Linked DNA regions of Pelodiscus sinensis. The protein of the gene in region 1 purifies or fractionates together with the protein of each later gene. This does not show direct contact. Links are inferred from orthologs where the notes say so. Each region holds a gene or a part of one and is shown in the gene's direction. Other genes may lie near its edges.

What was found. Proteins that work in one complex are often made in the same cells at the same time.
Region 2: the proteins of TRAF3IP2 (region 1) and CD40 purify together in Homo sapiens (affinity purification with western blotting, with the first as the bait; 3 studies listed by BioGRID). This does not show direct contact. The link is inferred for Pelodiscus sinensis from reciprocal best matches to the Homo sapiens genes TRAF3IP2 and CD40.

The regions. Positions count from the first base shown.
Region 1 is NC_134713.1:79,752,878-79,762,656, reverse strand, and holds the start of TRAF3IP2 (E3 ubiquitin ligase TRAF3IP2), read left to right. Parts: upstream 1-5,397; 5' UTR 5,398-5,577; intron 5,578-8,299; 5' UTR 8,300-8,474; intron 8,475-9,116; exon of another isoform or gene 9,117-9,507; intron 9,508-9,779. UniProt on the Homo sapiens protein: E3 ubiquitin ligase that catalyzes 'Lys-63'-linked polyubiquitination of target protein, enhancing protein-protein interaction and cell signaling. Transfers ubiquitin from E2 ubiquitin-conjugating enzyme UBE2V1-UBE2N to substrate protein.
Region 2 is NW_027465895.1:136,304-145,787, forward strand, and holds the start of CD40 (tumor necrosis factor receptor superfamily member 5), read left to right. Parts: upstream 1-5,480; 5' UTR 5,481-5,567; coding exon 5,568-5,609; intron 5,610-6,956; coding exon 6,957-7,038; intron 7,039-7,569; coding exon 7,570-7,695; intron 7,696-7,816; coding exon 7,817-7,963; intron 7,964-9,484.

The DNA.
Region 1 (9,779 bases):
TTTGCCACTCTGAACATGCATTCCGTTTTAGAGGTTGTGATCCAAGCGCAGGCGATCTGCAGCAAGAGGTCAATACTGATTCTTGGGGTATTTCATCATGGCTTTACTGATGCTGGGTAAAGTGACCTATGCATGGCTCTATCTTCCTGCCAGCCATGCCCTCTACAGGACCACACACACTGGACTCTCTTTGGTGCTGTCAGACCAGAGTGAGAAGCACTATATCGACATCTAGGATACTCTATGGGAAGGGATTCCACTTTGCTCATTAGGTTCACCTCCTCTCCTTCTCACAGGCTTTTGGCTGTTTTCTGCTTCTTTCATCCCTGCACGGGGTAAAATTGGAAGCGTGCGTTTGACTCTGGCGCAGATGCACCACAGGGATCAGAGCAGAGCCTTCCTGATGCTGCTGCTCAGGTAAGAGATTTCAGACCCAGACGTATTGTAAAGAAAGCCTTTTACACAAATAAATGTTGGGGTTGTGAGTATCAATGCTCTCTGCCTACAGGCAGTTCTTCCCATACCCACACATGAGTGAGACCAGGAGCTGATTTTGGAAGGTCCTGTTAAAGATGTCTATTGTTTTTTCAGCACTATAAAAACACTGTCAAATATTGCCCTCCCCATTTCAACTTGCCTAATCAGCTGCAGCACCAAAACTTGAGTTTTTGCTGCCTGTATGGCTGTGATTGTGACTATCCCCTTTTGCTGCACTGTAACAGAGCTAACTGAAAGGTATAAACTGGGCACTCCACATGTTGAGATCCTGATTTTGGCTCCCCTGTGGCTCAGAGTTCCCTTCCAGTTGTCCATAGTGGATGTGCAGACTAACCACAGGCCCATCAGCTGCTGCTTGCTGCTCTTTGGCAGAATGCCAGCAGCCTGCTGCAGAAGAAGTGGACACACAGGGGGAGTAGCTACAATCCATTTAGCTCAGATGAGACTCCCATCTGGCATGTCCTATGATTGTCACTGGTGACAGGTATTTTGCTAACAAAGCCTGGATTGGTGTCAGTCAGGCAAACTCAGCCCACTGGTCCCCTAGAATAATTCACCTGAGGAAATCACCAGCAGATCTCAGACTCCAGTTTCTTCCTGAGTGGGTTCTAATTAGCCCCCTGCGAGCAACCCTCTAATTTGACTGAGATAGGTGGGAATTGTTCCTTGCTGTTATTTTGTAAGAAGAAGGATGACCTTCTGATTAAGGAACATGAGGACTCCTGATTTTGGGGATCTATTCCCAGTTCCATGTGTGAGCGTGGACAAGTCACTTATCTTCACTAGGCCAGCTTAATCCCACCACCAGTGCATGGAGCAAGAGAGAGGCTTGTTACTACACTGAGGTCAGGGGACCAAGCTCACCCCTGGAGCAGGTTAATGCAGCCTTTGTTTGCCATAACCTCATATTCTGAGATATTAGTTTAAACAGGTTGTTGTTGTTACTGTTGAAGAGCCTAAAAGACCAGGCATGATAAATGTATTCATGACCCCTTAGGTCCAGTCCTGCAAATACAGACTATCAGGTAAAGTATGTACTACCTTAAGCAGTCCCACTGACTTTGGTGGTGTATGCATTGTGCCCACTGATAAGTGTTTACAGGACAGGGTCCTAAATTAGTGTTTATATAGAAGCCATAATGCTGTTTTCGATGGTTCAATTTCCTTCCTAACCTGAGGAGTCCAGGGATCCAATATTCTTTCACTACATATGTATGTTTCCTTAAAAAATGCTTTTTAAAACATTTGTATGTGTGTGCGCATGTGCGCATGTAAGCACACACACGCACTCTGTCCCTTTTCTTCTGCCAGTCTGTGCCCATTTCCATAGAAACAGAAGTGAAACCGTGAATTGGCCACCAGAAACTGAGTTATTTTCATTTGCTTACACTCAGGGTCAGAAAGGCTGTGAGTAGCCAGCAGGCAGCTGTCAGCTCATAGTGAGAACTCTCCCTGGTACATTTCAGCAGCTGGCTGTCATCTGACAACTACAAACACCAGGTTTGCAACAAAAAAAAAAACAGTTACTGACTTCACAACGCTTTCAGCTTTGAAAGCCTATTTGGGTTGGGGAGCCCTGTTGTTTACACTTTGGAATTCAGACATGCTGGGAGGACTGCTAGTAACACTAGATATCATCTGTTGAAAATCCCTGTTTGCTTTGTCTAAATGGTGGAATTGGGAGGGGTCAGCATGGAGAGTCTGAAGCCAGACAGTGCCATTTATGTCCACAAAGTTATAACTTTGAAGTTCTTGCCCTTGAGTCAGAGCACTGGTTAATGTGCTGCATGAATGATTGATAAACATTCTCTGGTCTCCTTCACAGTTCATTTCCCCAGTTAGACAATGATGAACATGCAAGGTTCTACCGTATATACTTGCTTATAAACCAACTCCCATAAAGTTAAACCCCTTCTCTTCCCAGCAAAGATTAACGAATATGTCCTACATGTAAACTGATCCTACTCCCACCATCCCTGTGCTCCACAGATAAGAGATTATGGAGAAGGGGGACGTCCCTGAACAGGAAGCAGCACAGGGGACTCAGCAGAACACCTCTCTTTCCCACACTTGACTAGTACATGAGCCAAAAGTTTTGCCTTAAAATTGTGGCATAAATATCTTGGTTTTATACATCAGTAAATATGGTATTTGCCTGCCCTGCCCTGGATGAGTCACCATCACTGATATGCCCAGCCAGAAACTCCAGACCTTATACCTACCTAGTCTTTGTGCTTAGCATGCTGCAGCTCTTCCAGCCAGCCTGCTGCAACCAACAATTACCTCACTGTAGCTGCACTTATCAAATCTGCACTTTGTAAAATATGGATTTGGGAAGTTTCTCAGATCAAACCCAGTCTTACAGAACTGTGCCACTGAAATGCCAAAGCTCACAGCTGTCAGAGGAAGGGCTTTCACTGTGAAAAATAAGCATGCAGCAAAACACCACGTCTTAGTTACAAACAGATGGCTTCAAACTTACACTGATTAAAAGGCCATGCTAATAGCATGACTACTAATGCCACATTAATTGGTAGGAATGTTCGTCACATCCAAGGCTGGCTCTGTTATACAGGCAGAACAGGTGGTTGCCTGGAGCAGCAAAATGTTTAGGGCTTGTGGGAAGTGAAGGGCACGTGTTTTCCAGTTTGCCATGGGCATGAGCAGCCATAGACCTGATGCTAATCTGAGAAGGGAAGAAACTATTAGCAATCAGCCATTTTGGCTTTGTTTCAGTGGCCTCATATTATTGCTCTGCAATGTCCCAGAGGGGAAATATGGGTTCAATTATGGACACTAGCCTTTCACTTGTAAGGCTGATACGGGAAGCTAAGAGAGGCAGCATGCCCAGCCCATTAGTGGAAAGAAGGGGGAGGTGACAGGGAGCATTACACAATGTTCAGCAGGAATCTTTCCTGCCAATCAAGAGTCCATCCACTCTTGTGAATGATGATTGCAGCGTGAGGTTCTCCAGGAAACATGCTACAGTATTCTACAGCAACAGCCCAAAATACTGCAGTGCTGCTAGTGGAAGGCACAGTGCTTTCACCTCTCAGTCCAGCACCATAGGGACCTGACTGGTGCTAAATCAGAGAATTTGCCAAACTATGGGAGGTCAATATTGTTTAGCAGTATTACCAACACTTTCACTGCTTATTGGGCTCTTAGAAGACATTTAGGGGTAAATTAATGCTAAATAACAGCACAGAACACTGAGAGCCAGGACTGGTAAACAAACTTTGAGACCACAAGAAACTTGGCCACACCCATGATAAATGGGCATCCAGCTAACTAAAATTATTGATGTTGCCAGACCAGAGTGTGCCAGACTAGGGAGGTTCAACCTGTATTGTAGAGTAGTGTTTCTCAACCAATGGTATGAGTACCCTTAAGGGTACTTGAGATATGTCTGGGGGATACATCAACACAACTGACATTTGGAGAAAACTGAATTTTTGTTTTAAGTTTTACAGCACTTTATTATTTTTGTACTTTTTACGCCCAAAAATTTCATCACCCACCTGGCTATAATTAAGTTGTTTAAGCAAATGTGTTGCAATGGTAGAAAAAAGAAATGGTGTGTCTGAAAACTGTACGTAGTGGGGGGTACTTATACTTTTTTTAAAGGGGTACTTTATAAAAAAAAGTTGAGAAACACTGTTATAGAGTGCCATAGCACTTTCAAAATAAGGGTAGAAACTTTAGAAGCAGTAAAGCCGAATCAGACTGATGAGTGACAAAGACCAGTAAATTAGGCATGGCATGGTGCAGGAAAGACTTGCCTGACTTAAGGGTTGTATTATGAAGTAGCGGCAGGTAAGTGCTTACTCAAAGCACTAATATGTGCTTGGAAACTTCATGTCATTGTAACAAAGTGTATGATCAGAAAATACACAGAGGCATCTTAAGGCAGTGGGAAACAGGTTCTGTTACCTCCCTTCTCTCTGCTACGGCCACATCTGAAATATTACTTTCAGTTATAGGCACCTCTTAACCAAGATAGTAATCAAATGAGAGGGTGTTCAGGAAAGAGCAATAAAAACATCAAACTTCAGGAGGAATTGACTTCTAAGGGGTGATTTGAAATAGCTATATATGTATAGCTTGGCTGGGGAACCTGATGGCAGCCTACAAATACTGAAAAGGTGAAAACACCCATGTGGCACCTTGGAGTATAAGTAGGAGGAATGGGGTGAAACTAAGAGAAGAAAATGTAGGCTAACAGGCCTGACAGTGAGGTCTGCTGCGCTGGGAAGTGGTAAAAGTCAGTTTCCCTCCGCCATGTCAGCTAGACTGGAGAAAGCACTAGATAATATACTGTGATGAAAACCCTGCCTGGAAAGAAGACAAGTTGGATGATACTGTAAGGTATTCTAAAATCTATCATGAAATGTTGTCAACTGTTTAATGTTTTAATTAAAGTCCTAGCTGCTGTGAGTGCATGAGAACTTCACCTTTAATTACTTACAACAAATGTTCCTAGTCATGGATGTGGAGAGAAGCTGGAAAATGCTGCTTGAGCATAATGTTCAAGACTCAAGAATCAGAATGCATACAAAAATAACCCACCTTTAAATCACATGAGTTGTGATTCACTCTTTTGATTTCTCATGATTTTGGTGGTCTGACTCATGATTTTTGAGCAGACAGCTTAGCACTGACAATGTACATTCTAGTATTTAAAAAAATCAGACACTTCTTCCACTTATGTGTATTATGTTTGAAAACCATATTGGGTTTCCCCTGCAATTATTTATCTGTTCAGTTTGAACAGTAGCCTGACTTCTTGGGACAGGAACAATTCAAGGGACTTTTTAACTTCAAAGTAGCTTTCCTCTGTTACTGATTCACTCCCCCTCGAAGAGGTTTTCAGCCTGAGGCTTTCCACTTCTGATTTGTGATTTGCATAAAAGTTCTACTTCCTGCTGCAGAGCCTGTTCTGCAACTTACCTGAGAGAGAGAAGTGCGTAAAAGGAAAAAAGAAAACCACAGATCCACAGGAAAATAGAGTGCAGGAGAAAGCCCAGCAGTTGCTCTTTACTCTTGATCAGTCCAGCGTGTGTCCCTGCTAGCCCCAAGGTAAGAGCTCTTAAAGATCTTGCTGCTCGCTATTTGTTACTAACCACTGACCCACTTTGCCGCTTGTTTTTCTTTCTGGGTTCTAACCTCCTTTTTACTTCACCTATTTTTTCCAGTAATGACTGAGTGAATTTAGAACCCAGCACACTGCGCTTCGGCTACTTTGCGTAACAGATTTGGATCAGGACTGTCTTTGGGTAAACCCTCTGGGAATGGATGACATAGGCAGTGTTTTGCTGTCATCCCAAGCTTTTGTACAGCTGTTTGTAAAACACCAGCCACAGGCCTAATTCTGGCTAGTCGTGGCATGGGCATTCTGCTGGAGGGTAGCTTGAAAGCAGCCTTCACCTCTAGTTTTTTGTGGTTCCCCCCCCCCCCTCACACGCACACAGGGATTAGCCAGTGATCCTGCATTTGGCAGCTTCAGAAGGAACTGTGGCACCACTGGAACAGTGCGATTTTGTACAGCAAGCCCATACCATGTTGCCTACTCAGCCATAATGAGGGGCTGTTTCCAATAATGTTGAAGAGAGAATTATTATGGAAAACAAAGAAGAAATACGATTATAAACCCAGATAAAACACTTCCAACCTGATGTTTATATCAGAACAGATTGCAAGTGATCTGATATTAATTTAAAAAACATCAGCTGTATAATTGATATGTTAACTTCCCTTTCAGGATACTCAGTTTGGCAATTCTCACTACCATTTGCTAGGGAGTGGGAACAGTAAATCTGCCCCCACCTACTGTGCCTTACAGCTGCAACTAGTTGCTGGGAATTACACAATTTTACAAAATCAAAGTGTCTCCTACAGACTAACGCCTGAGCTACATAAACAATGGATACTGACATAATTATGTCAAGAAGGTGATGTTTTCCCAGCATAGATGTGCTGGTATATGTGCAGGGGTGGGGGCTGGATCCAGAGCTGAGCTTGTATTGGGGAGCCTGTGCTGCCGCTCCAGCCCTGTGTCTCCCCTCCCCCGTGGGGCTGGAGCGCCAGCACAGACTCACCACTTCAAGGATGGGGAGCCAAGAGTCTCATGAGATGGAGTCAGGCAAACCGGGGCTGGTTCCGACCCACAGGCTCTGTTTGGCAACACGAGAAAGTAGCTCCATGGGTGCTGCTCGCCCCCCTCTCAACTGGGGAAATGGCAGCACAGCAAAACACTGCCTGGAGGCTTTTTCCCCCGCCACTCTAATTGGCCGTAATCGTAGCCAATCGGAGCAACAGAATTTATGCCTGGGAGCGGCAGGGGACATGGAGCCAAGTGCATCCCTGAGGCCTGTGCCCTTACACCCATACCCTACTCCTGGACCCCCTCCTACCCAAACCCCCCACCTCCAGTCCACTCTTGCACCCTACCGGCCTGCCAGACCCTCCAACCCTCAGCCTGTTCCTGCACTGCCCTCCTGCACAGATCTCCACTCCCACCAAGCCCTGCCATCTCCAGTCCACTCCTTTACCCTATTTCCCACCCAGACTCTGCACCCGCACTTCTCTCCTGCACCCTACCTCTCCCCCAGACCTGCCACCCCAATCCCCCAGACCTTGCACCCTCCCTCCCACCCAGACCTCACAACCCAAGCCCATTTCCCAGCAGGCCCCTCCCACACACTGAACCCCTCATTTTTTGCCCCACCCAGAGCCTAGAGAGGCCCACAAAATCTACTAGCCCAGGCCCCCCTGGGATTTGGTGTATGAGAGGTATGTGGGGAACGTTTTTCTGCTTCTCAGTCAGAGGCCATGTCAGTGAGGTGTTGGTTTGGTTTGGTTTGGGGTTGTTTTGCTTCTCAGTTTGTGTGCCCCCCCAACTGATTTTTCTGTAGGTCAGCAGCCCCCAACCAAAAGGTTCCTCGCCTGTGTGCTAGGGTAAGACCTAGTGATGCCAGCACAACTTTACTTTTGCTGATGTAGCCTATTTTGCTCAAGGAATTGGCAGTTAATATAAGCTTCATCTATACTAGACTGTTTTGCTGGTCTAGCTAAACCAGCAATCCCTTCCTAGCAATAATAAGCCCTTAGGTAGAGAATGTACAGACTTTTTGGTGCCGTCTGCAAAGAAATAATAAAATGCTTCCTAGCTCCATAAGCTCAAAAAATGCCACTAGAGAAGGGGAGAAAGATTAGTAAGACCTCAGTTCTTCCTGTCGTCATCTTTTGTGTGTCCCCAGCACATTGTTCAGCATGAGGTCTTGAGTACATTGAACATTATCAGCAGTGCTTCTCTCGATATGCTTGGCTTGGGGATTTTTTTCAGTTTTTGCGAACGTCTATTGTAGATGGCTATGTGGAGTCAAAGAAAAGGGATTTCAGCTGGATATGACTGAACTGGACACAAATAATCATGGCATGACCCTAAGCAAGGAAACGTGTTGAGGGGGAAGCCTGAAACAGGGGAATGGCTGCCTAGTGCTGGGCTGATGTCAGTGTCCAATGGCTGGACTGGTGTAGACCCAACACACAGTGTTGCAGTCTTTCCAGAACCCATACTATTAAGGAGATGTGGCAGTATTTCCATAGTTAAGTTTGAAACCAGCTTCTCTGCTATAGTGCCCTATTTTGGCAGCAAAAGGTGAATGTTTCAGCAAAGCCTGAAGAAAATTCAAGATCCTTTGATATTACATGGCATTCTAATAGTGCAATGGTTTGCAATTCTGACTTAGAGCTAGAGGAAGACACAGATACTAAAGTGACATGTTTGTTACCTCTTCAGTGGAGCATAAGAGCCAGGCAGAATTCCAAGCCATATACTCAAGAAAGCACATGGAGATAGCACCCTCGCTACTTCCCATGGAGATGTACGCCACCCTTGAAGGGCAGTGAGGAGTGGAGAATTACGGAGATCTGTGACTGTGTTGGTTCCCCCATATACCAGCCAGCGTTGACAGGTAGTGGTGTGTATATACCCGCTGTTCAATGGAAAGCTCCAGAAGGCATTCCAGTTCTAAGTCTGCATGTCTTGGTGTTTTCTCTGGGGCATTGTGTCCCCACCCCCACCCTTTCTGGGACGTGCCTAAAGAGTACCAGCCTAGCCGTGTATTAGCTGAGAATGTATTCCACTTAAAAATACCTTGTAAAAAACATTTTTTTTGCCACTGCAATAAAAATATTATATTAAAATTAGTAATTCAGTGGTCAAAGTTAGTTATGTTTTGATAAAATATGCTTTTCATTGTAGTCCATATGCATGTTGTGTTTACTTTGTGGGCAGTTCAGGATTTGTGTTGTTTACAGTTCATTTCCTTGTTTTCAGAAGCTTTCACTTTGTTACTGATGTGATATGCAGGCGTGTTGTCATTTAGCAGCCTTAACTAGCATGCTATATAGTAAAACAAAAACCACATTATTTATCTAGCAGTTACCAGAAGTACATGTCATTAAATGTATGGGGGAAATGTCCCAAGCACATAGCAGAGTCTCTGCCCTGAAAATCTTATTTTCTAAAGGCATATCTTTATTAAGGGAGTCATGTTTCATGTGAAGGTGTATTGATTCTGTTTCATTATATAATATTCTGGGTATCTGAGATAAGAGGAGCTATTGCTGATGCTGGCACAATTTCAACATGTACTGTAAATATTACACTGCAGTAATTTTTATCTAATGCTGAAGCTCCAACTTGATAAAGCTCCAGGAGGAATACACACTATATTGTTGCTCCTTTTTTTAGACCATGCAATAGACCAGGAATCTGCTACAATGGATGATAGTTCTGGGTCAAGATTTTCAAAGGTGCCAAGTGATTTTTTTGTATATTGAGTGGGAGACAGTTTAAAATAACCTGATTTTCAGAAAGTGCTATGATGGATCTTTAAAGCCGGGGACTACAACTCTTGTCATCTCCATCCCATTTCTCCTGGCCAAGCAGAGGTTATGTTTCCTGTCAGCCCTTCTGGTTGTATTTCCCCTTCTATTGGCCAGGTAAGAGGAAAGACACTTGCATTATTGTTAGCACCAGTGTAGCTCCAGTAGTGCTGAAAATGCACATGGTATTTTATAGTATAGGTAAAGCCTTCCTCCTAGAGTTAGAAGCACATGGATAGTTATCCCTCCATATATAATCCTTGTGCTGGCTGCAGCGAGAATGTAAGAACAGTGAAAAAATGAAAACATGTCAGCACTGAAGAAGAACGCTGTTTCATACAATAGTACCTCAGAGTTATGAACCCAGAGTTACAAACTGACGAGTCAAC
Region 2 (9,484 bases), on another chromosome or scaffold:
GTTTATTGCCTCTCCAGGATGCAGCACAGAACAGATGTAATCTGGTCACAGAGCTGGGCTAGGATGCCTCAGGCCCCCTTGAGATGGGGGAGACTGGGCCCCTAAACTCCAGCCCCTTTCCCTAGGCTGTCTCCTCCATGCTCCCAGACAGCAACTAACTCACCCCCTTCCAGCCCTGCCCCCCAGCCAGGGCAGCATCCACCTTCCTTTGTTCCTCTCCATGGGGGGTGTCTGGTTCAACAGGTTTGGCCTCACCGTCACCACCGCCCAGCAAGTACCCCCACTACGTCACATCCCGCACGTCCTTACACTGGGCCAACACGAGCTTCTCCAAGTGTCTGGCCGTCCCGGGATCCCTGGGGTCCTCCCCACTCACTGCAGCAGGGCCCCTCCGCTTCTCCGCTCCGCCATGGCCAGCTCGTGCAGCCGCTGCCTCTCTCGGTCCTGGCGCTCCTCCCTACAATCCTCCAGTTCCTTTAGCCTCAGCTCGATCTCCAGCCATCGCAGCTCTGCCGGGGAGGACCCGGCCCAGGACGAACCGCTGCTGGCCGAGAGTGGCCTGGTGGGCACCGCGTCTGTCTGGCGGACTCCAGCCCCCCTCCTGCCTGAGAGCCTGGGACACTCCCAGGGGGTGTCTGGCTGCTCCCTGTGGAGACAGGATCCAGGTCCCTGGATGGGTCATGCTCTTCCAGCCGGGCAGTCCTGGGCCTTGGTTGCTTTCCCCACGGGCAGGCCCCTCTCTCTGCACAGCCCCACCAGGTCTGCCTTCAGGAGCTGGGCGTAGGCTGTCTCCTCGCCAATCCCTGGGGTGCAGACTCAGCGGCCAAGTGCTACAGCGCCCCACGACTCCCTTCACTCTGCCTCCCGCACGCCTGGCTCATGCAAGCCCCTTCCTTCTCCTGCGCCTTGTTCCTTGCTGCTGGAAGCTCCATCCAAGGGGTGCATCCCACTGCTGCCACCACTATGGTGGCGTGTCAGGGACCCACCTGATCCTGCACCCCCATTGCAGCAAGATGAGACTCCGCCAGCCAGTAGAACGGGGCGGGGGGGTTATTGCTTTTCCAGGACACAGCCCAGCACAGACGTGATGTGGCTACAGGAGTCAGGGCCAGGCAGCCTCAAGCCCCTTGGGGGAGGGGTCCAGTGCCCCCCTCAACACCCGCACTCAGCTTACTCACTTCTCTCCATCTTTTTCCAGACAAGACCGCCCAGCTCCCAGGCCCTGCCCCCCAGCCAGGTGGCGTCTGCACCGCCCTCCCTTTGTCTCTCCCCGGGAAGAGCCTTGTTACCTGCCCAGGCTGGGCCCGGGTGTCTGGGCCAACACACATGCAGGTGAGTCCGTGGGAATCCCAGCCCAGTGCAGGGGACCCCGGGTTACAGAGCAAACAGCCCCCCACAACGTCACAATAGACTTTGGGGCAGTGATCTGGCTGCTCCCCTTAAAATCCAATAATGTGACACGGGGCCCCCCAAGGGTCCAGGTCACCCTCCAGTCTCCCGCCACGAAACTAGCCTGCAAGAGCCGGGTACAACCAGCCCCGTCCCTGTGCCACCCGCTCGCTCTGCCAATGGCCAGGGGCCCACCCCAGCACACACGACACCAGCGGCAGGCACCCCAGTCCTCCGGCAACAGCACTGACCCCCCTGGCTAGGAGCCTGGCTCGCACACGCCTTTTCCTGGCCACATTGCCCTAGGGACTTCGCCCTGGTGACATCGCCCTGGTGAATTCACACTGGTCGCATCGCTCTGGTGACATCGCCCTGGTGACATCGCCCTGGTGAATTCACACTGGTGACATCGCTCTGGTGACATCGCCCTGGTGAATTCACACTGGTCACATCGCTCTGGTGACATCGCCCTGGTGACATCGCCCTGGTGAATTCACACTGGTCGCATCGCTCTGGTGACATCGCCCTGGTGACATCGCCCTGGTGAATTCACACTGGTCGCATCGCTCTGGTGACATCGCCCTGGTGAATTCACACTGGTCACATCGCTCTGGTGACATCGCCCTGGTGACATCGCCCTGGTGAATTCACACTGGTGACATCGCTCTGGTGACATCGCCCTGGTGAATTCACACTGGTCGCATCGCTCTGGTGACATCGCCCTGGTGACATCGCCCTGGTGAATTCACACTGGTCGCATCGCTCTGGTGACATCGCCCTGGTGAATTCACACTGGTCACATCGCTCTGGTGACATCGCCCTGGTGACATCGCCCTGGTGAATTCACACTGGTGACATCGCTCTGGTGACATCGCCCTGGTGAATTCACACTGGTCACATCGCCCTGGTGACATCGCCCTGGTGAATTCACACTGGTCACATCGCCCTGGTGACATCGCCCTGGTGAATTCACACTGGTGACATCGCCCTGGTGAATTCACACTGGTGACATCGCTCTGGTGACATCGCCCTGGTGAATTCACACTGGTGACATCGCCCTGGTGAATTCACACTGGTGAATTCACACTGGTGACATCGCTCTGGTGACATCGCCCTGGTGAATTCACACTGGTGACATCGCTCTGATGACATCGCCCTGGTGAATTCACACTGGTCACATCGCTCTGGTGACATCGCCCTGGTGACATCGCCCTGGTGACATCGCCCTGGTCACATCGCCCTGGTGACATCGCCCTGGTGACATCGCCCTGGTGAATTCACACTGGTGACATCGCTCTGATGACATCGCCCTGGTGAATTCACACTGGTCACATCGCTCTGGTGACATCGCCCTGGTGAATTCACACTGGTCACATCGCCCTGGTGACATCGCCCTGGTGACATCGCCCTGGTGAATTCACACTGGTGACATCGCCCTGCTGGCCCATCAGTGTGTGGCAGAGATGCCCACGAGTGGCCTGGGCCATAGGGGCAGCCCTGCGCTCACCCCATGGCCCTGGTACATGCCCTGGCTGGGCCAGGCCACCTGCGCCTCTCTCCTCTAGAGCAGGCCACCCAGGGACACCAGGCTCCAGGGCCTGAGGCAGGGATCTCTGCTGCTCCCCATGCCGGCACCCTGGCACTGAGTACTCCTGGCGGGCCCTGGGCCCTCCTGCCATGGGCCTGGCTGCCCTGGGGCAGGGAGCTGCCCGCAGGCTGCATGGGCAGGTCCTAAGCTGAACTGGCCAGCCCGGCGCTGATGAGGAGCAGAGAGAGCCCGAGAGCTGGGGGTCGCCCCCCTGGATGTGTGGGCCCATCCCTCTGAGGGGGTGCAGTTTGGGTCAAAGCTCTGAGCACCCCCCACTGTCAGTGGCATCGGAGCAATTGTTAGGGTGAGGGGGGGCTAAGCTGTGTCCCGTTAACCCCCGTCTGCACCCCCTTAACTCCATCTGCGACCCCCCCACCGCCGTCTGCACCCTCTTAACTCCATCTGCGACCCCCCACCGCCGTCTGCACCCCCTTAACTCCATCTGCGACCCCCCCACCGCCGTCTGCACCCCCTTAACTCCATCTGCGACCCCCCCACCGCCGTCTGCACCCTCTTAACTCCATCTGCGACCCCCCACTGCCGTCTGCACCCTCTTAACTCCGTCTGCACCCCCTCATTCCGTCTGCACCCTCTTAACTCCGTTTGCACCCCCTTGCCCCTCTGAGCCCCTCGCCCCGTCTGCACCCCCTCATTCCGTCTGCACCCCCTTAACTCCATCTGCGACCCCCCCACCGCCGTCTGCACCCTCTTAGCTCCATCTGCACCCCCTCATTCCGTCTGCACCCTCTTAATTCCATCTGCGACCCCCCCACCGCCGTCTGCACCCTCTTAACTCCGTCTGCACCCCCTCATTCCGTCTGCACCCCCTTGCCTCTCTGCGCCCCTCGCCCCGTCTGCACCCCCTCATTCCGTCTGCACCCCCTTAACTCCATCTGCGACCCCCCCACCGCCGTCTGCACCCTCTTAACTCCGTCTGCACCCCCTCATTCCGTCTGCACCCTCTTAACTCCGTCTGCACCCCCTTGCCTCTCTGCGCCCCTCGCCCCGTCTGCACCCCCTCATTCCGTCTGCACCCCCTTAACTCCATCTGCGACCCCCCCCACCGCCGTCTGCACCCTCTTAGCTCCATCTGCACCCCCTCATTCCGTCTGCACCCCCTTAACTCCATCTGCGACCCCCCCACCGCTGTCTGCACCCTCTTAACTCCGTCTGCACCCCCTCATTCCGTCTGCACCCCCTTAACTCCATCTGCAACCCCCCCACCGCCATCTGCACCCTCTTAGCTCCATCTGCAGCCCCTCATTCCGTCTACACCCCCTTAACTCCGTCTGCACCCCCTCACCCCGTCTGCACCCCCTCTGCACCTCCTCATTCCGTCTGCACCCCCTTAACTCCATCTGTGACCCCCCACCGCCATCTGCACCCTCTTAACTCCATCTGCACCCCCTCATTCCGTCTGCACCCCCTTGCCTCTCTGCGCCCCTCGCCCCGTCTGCACCCCCTCATTCCGTCTGCACCCCCTTAACTCCATCTGCGACCCCCCCACCGCCGTCTGCACCCTCTTAACTCCGTCTGCACCCCCTCATTCCGTCTGCACCCTCTTAACTCCGTTTGCACCCCCTTGCCCCTCTGCGCCCCTCGCCCCGTCTGCACCCCCTCATTCCGTCTGCACCCCCTTAACTCCATCTGTGACCCCCCCCACCACCATCTGCACCCTCTTAGCTCCATCTGCACCCCCTCATTCCGTCTGCACCCCCTTAACTCCATCTGCGACCCCCCCACCGCCGTCTGCACCCTCTTAACTCCGTCTGCACCCCCTCATTCCGTCTGCACCCCCTTAACTCCATCTGCAACCCCCCCACCGCCATCTGCACCCTCTTAGCTCCATCTGCAGCCCCTCATTCCGTCTACACCCCCTTAACTCCGTCTGCACCCCCTCACCCCGTCTGCACCCCCTCTGCACCTCCTCATTCCGTCTGCACCCCCTTAACTCCATCTGTGACCCCCCACCGCCATCTGCACCCTCTTAACTCCATCTGCACCCCCTCATTCCGTCTGCGACCCCCTCACCCATCTGTGCCCCTTTAACTCCCGTTTGTGCCCCCTCACCTCTGTCTGCGCCCCTTATCCCTGTTTGCACCCCCAACCCCCATCTGCGACCCCTCATCCTTGACTGCACCCCCTTACCTCTGTGTGTGCCCTCTGACCCCCGTCTGCACCCCTTTGCCCATCTGTGCCCCTCGCCCCGTCTGCGCCCCTCACCCGTGTCTGTGCCCCCTTACCCCGTCTGCGCCCCCTTACTCCGTCTGCGCCCCCTTGCCCGTCTGTGCCCCTCGCCCCGTCTGCGCCCCTCACCCATGTCTGTGCCCCCTTACCCCGTCTGTGCCCCCTTACTCCATCTGCACCCCCTTGCCCGTCTGTGCCCCTCGCCCCGTCTGCACCCCTCCCTGCCCCCGGCTGGGGCGCAGAGAGCCAGGCCCAGAGCCCTGCAGGCTGGCCGGGGAAGTCCTGGGAGGAGTTTGGCTGCTCGGGGAGGGGCGGCCCAGCCCCCTTCCTGGGCGGTTCGAGGGCTGGAGTTTATAGCAGCTGGCCGGTCCCCTCCCCGCAGCCTGGACGGTCCAGCTGCGCCATGGCCGGCCTGCTCTGCCTGCTCGGGGGCTGCCTGCTCTGGGTGAGTGCTGCCCTCGCCCGGCGCCGCCCGCTGCAAGCCTGGCCCGGCTGGGCTCCCGGCGCCCCTCTGCCTCCTCGGAGCCAACTCCCTGCCCGGGCAGCCGGGGGCTGGCACCGCGCCACCTCCCCCCCGCCGGCAGAGCGCCCGCCAGCCCGGTGCCAGCCCAGGCCCCGGGGAGGGGGGGCCGGCGGGGGTCAGGCCCGGGCGCTGAGCACACGGGGGCCGGCGGGGGGGACGCGGGCTGGCTGCAGTCGGCTCCCTGCCAGGTGGCTGGTTCCTCATTTCTGTGGCTGGGAATTTCCCTTCATTCTCTTGGATTTCCCGGCCCCGGCCGCTCTGCCCTGCTGCCTGGCAGCCCGGGTGGGACGGGGACGCAGGGGGGGCGGGCAGGGCCTGGGGCCCCCACTGCCCAGGCAAAGGGCCCAGCCAGAGCTGGGGCCAGGCCCCCGCCTGCTCCCTGGGTGAGGCCCAAGGCTTCGCTTTCACTTTCTTTCTGAAGTAGGGGGCTGGAGCAAGCCCCGGAGACAGAGCAAGACCAGCCCAGCCCAGCTCCGGCCAGGGAGCCCCAGGGAGCCCCAGGGAGCAGGCCAGGGGCAGGGCGCAGGGGCAGGGCTGGGTCCCGGGCGGGGAGCGCGCCGGCCGGCCAGGGCGGAAGGGCAGCCCGGAGGCAGCAGGGCACTGGCCGCGGGCGCCCAGCGTCGCCGGTTGCAGCTGAGCGCGCGCCAGGCCCTGGGCATGCAGCGTGAGCCGGGGCGCGGGAGCCGGCTGGCCCTTCCTGCCTCTCGGCACAGGACCTGCGCTCCAGGGTTCCCGCCCAGTTCCCGGGGCGCCAGGCCAGGCCTGCAGGGCGGAGGGGCTGGTTCCCCAGCCCGCTAGGGACGTGGGACGGCACCGTCGGGCTCCGCGCCGCCCCTGGAAGCCCCAAGCCCGGCTCTCCGAGAGCGACCGGCGGCAGCACCGGGCCCCTGCCCTGAGAGCGGCCGCGCTGCCCATGCAGGGCTGGGGCACGTCCCGGTGGGGGAGGGGGCTCCCCAGAGCCCACAGGCTCCTCCCAGCACCGCCCCGTGTCCATCCGTGGCTCGGCCCTGCGGCAGGGAGGGCAGCTGGCAGCCCGCGGGCAGGGCAGCCGGGGTCCCGGTCCTGTCAGCGGTGCCCGGCGTCGCCCTGGCGCGGGGGAGGCAGGGCACCGGGGCGCCAGGGTCCCGTTGTGGTTCCAGCGGGCGCCGGCAGGCAGCTGCGTCTGGGAGCGCCGGGGACGCAGAGGCTGGGCAGAGCCTGTGGGAGCCAGGGGGCAGGAAGAAGGGGGGGTCCTGGCCCGCCTGAGCTCGCCGCTCTCCTCTCTTCCAGCACTGGGCGTCTGTCAGCGCCTTGGACTGCAACCTGCAGCAATACGAGCACCAGGGCACGTGCTGCAGCCGCTGCAGGCCAGGTACGGAGCCGTGTCGCGCCCCAGGCAGCCACCCCAGAGCCGGGCTGGGGCCGCAGCCTTGATCTGCTCCGGGGCGCGTGCAGGGGGGCAGGGCCGGGGGCAGCCGGCGTCCCTCCCTCCGGGGTGTGTGCAGGGGGGGCAGGGCTGGGGTAGCCGGCGTCCCTCCCTCTGGGGCGTGTGCAGGGGGGGCAGGGCTGGGGCAGCCGGCGTCCCTCCCTCTGGGGCGTGTGCAGCGGGGGCAGGGCCGGGGCAGCCGGCGTCCCTCCCTCTGGGGCGTGTGCAGGGGGGGCAGGGCTGGGGCAGCCGGCGTCCCTCCCTCTGGGGCGTGTGCAGGGGGGGCAGGGCCAGGGGCAGCCGGCGTCCCTCCCTCCAGGGCGTGTGCAGGGGGGGCAGGGCCGGGGCAGCCGGCGTCCCTCCCTTCAGGGCGCGTGCAGGAGGTGGTGGGGCAGGGCCTGGCCATGTGGGGCCCTTGTTCTCTGGGGGCTGCCCCCCGCCCCGCCCCCCAGTAACAGGCCGTGCGCCGCGTTGCAGGCTACAAGCTGCAGTCTGACTGCACGGCGGAGAGGGAGTCCGTGTGCGCAGCGTGCGAGTCGAAGCACTTCCAGCCTGGCTGGACGAAGGAGAGACACTGCTCGCCCCACAGATACTGCGACCCCAGTAGGTGCCTTGGGGGTCTCCTCCCTGGGGTAAACCGCCCCCGAGTAATGCTCAGGCCCCCCCCACTGTTGGCTCAGCCCCCGGGCCCTACAGCTGACCTGTGTCTCGCCCCTTTGCCCAGACGCGAAGCTGGTCCTGCGGCTCCCCGGGGACGCGCAGAGCGACACCAAGTGCGAGTGCGAGCTGGGGACGTTCTGCTCCTCCCACGAGTGCCAGACCTGCCTGCCCATCTCTGCCTGCCAGCCGGGCCACGGAGTCGCTCACATAGGTGAGGTGGTGCTCGGAGCCAGACAGAGCGCGTCCCAGCCGGGACCCAGCACAGCCCGAGGGGCACCCAGCCCCATGCGAGCCCCACCGAGGCTGCCCCCGAGACCTGCCAAAGCCTGCCCTGGCATGGGGCACCCAGGGGAGATGGGTACAGGCTGCAACCACTCCATGCGTCATCCCCAGATGCCGCTGTCCAAGGGCTTTGGGAGCTAGGCCCTGCCCCGCCCTCCCCTGCATGGTGCCCTGCCCCGCCCTCCCCTGCATGGCGCCCCGCCCCGCCCTCCCCTGGCACTGCGCCCTGCCCGCCCTCACCTGAACACATGTGATGGACCAGGCCGGTTTGAGCACAGCTGAGGGTGTCCACTCAGGGCGAATTGCTCAAATCCAGGGCTCCTTACAGCCCCCAGACTGGTGACCTCTCCAAACAGGCCACAAACCAGTCCCACAGAGCGCTTCAGCAGCCTGCCTGAAGCCTCCTGAGCAAAACCCCTCCGACACCCCAGCAATATCCGTGCCCCAGGTGGCCCCGGGCCTCATACACCAGTGGGGGGTCCTAGCACCCAATCCCACCTACCCCGAACAAGTCCTGTCCGGTTCCAAGAAACCAGCCACAGATCCCTGGTCAATTTACCCTCTGGACCTTACCCACAAATCACGCTGGGCCAATCCTTTAGAATCTATATCTAAAGGTTTATTATCACAAGAAAGAAAAGCATGAGAGCAAGTTTGTTAAAGGATAGTACATTACATGCACCGAATCTCCCAGTCCTCGATGCAGGCTCTAGCAGAGATGTTGCAGCTGCTGGTTTAAAAGTCCTTGTTGCGCATCCTACGATCAGGATGGGTTCACAGGTCTTCCGGGCTCTTCAATCCCTGCAGTGCTGCCTCTGGGATGAAGTGCTGAGCTGAAGACAAAAATGAAGACCACCACATGGCCTATTTATCCCTCCTTCCTGGCCTCTTCTTGGCTGCAGCAGGTCACCTGGCCAGAGGCCAATCTCTGTGTTCCCTGCTGGCAGCCCTCAGGAGTCAACCCTCATTCTGTGTGTCCTTGGCCCATTGAGAGCCATTGTCCCACAGGGCCTCGCTGATTAGCATGTCCATAGGCCGGGCTCTGCCCAATGCTCAACCACATGCAGGGAAATATTCAGTCTCCACACAGATTACAGATTCCTAACTCCACACACACACATTCTACAGTCACATGACCAGTGTCCATAGGATTAGCAGACAGTGAGCTTCTATTCAGCACCCCACATGGCCCCTTTTATACCATTTTTGGGGCCAGCAGTGACCTGGCTGCTTCCCTCCAATTCAGCAACGTGACACCCCCAACGCAAAATTGATGCAGGAAGTGATGCCAGTAACATCACTGAGGGCATCACAGGCCCCCCCCCCCCATGCTTTGGCTCTGTCTCATCAGGTGTTCTAACCCAATGTTGGAAACAACAGCACAGAGCTGGATCAGCGTATGAGATGATTTTGCCCCGAGCTGAAGAAAGTAGTGACTTTATCTAGGCCA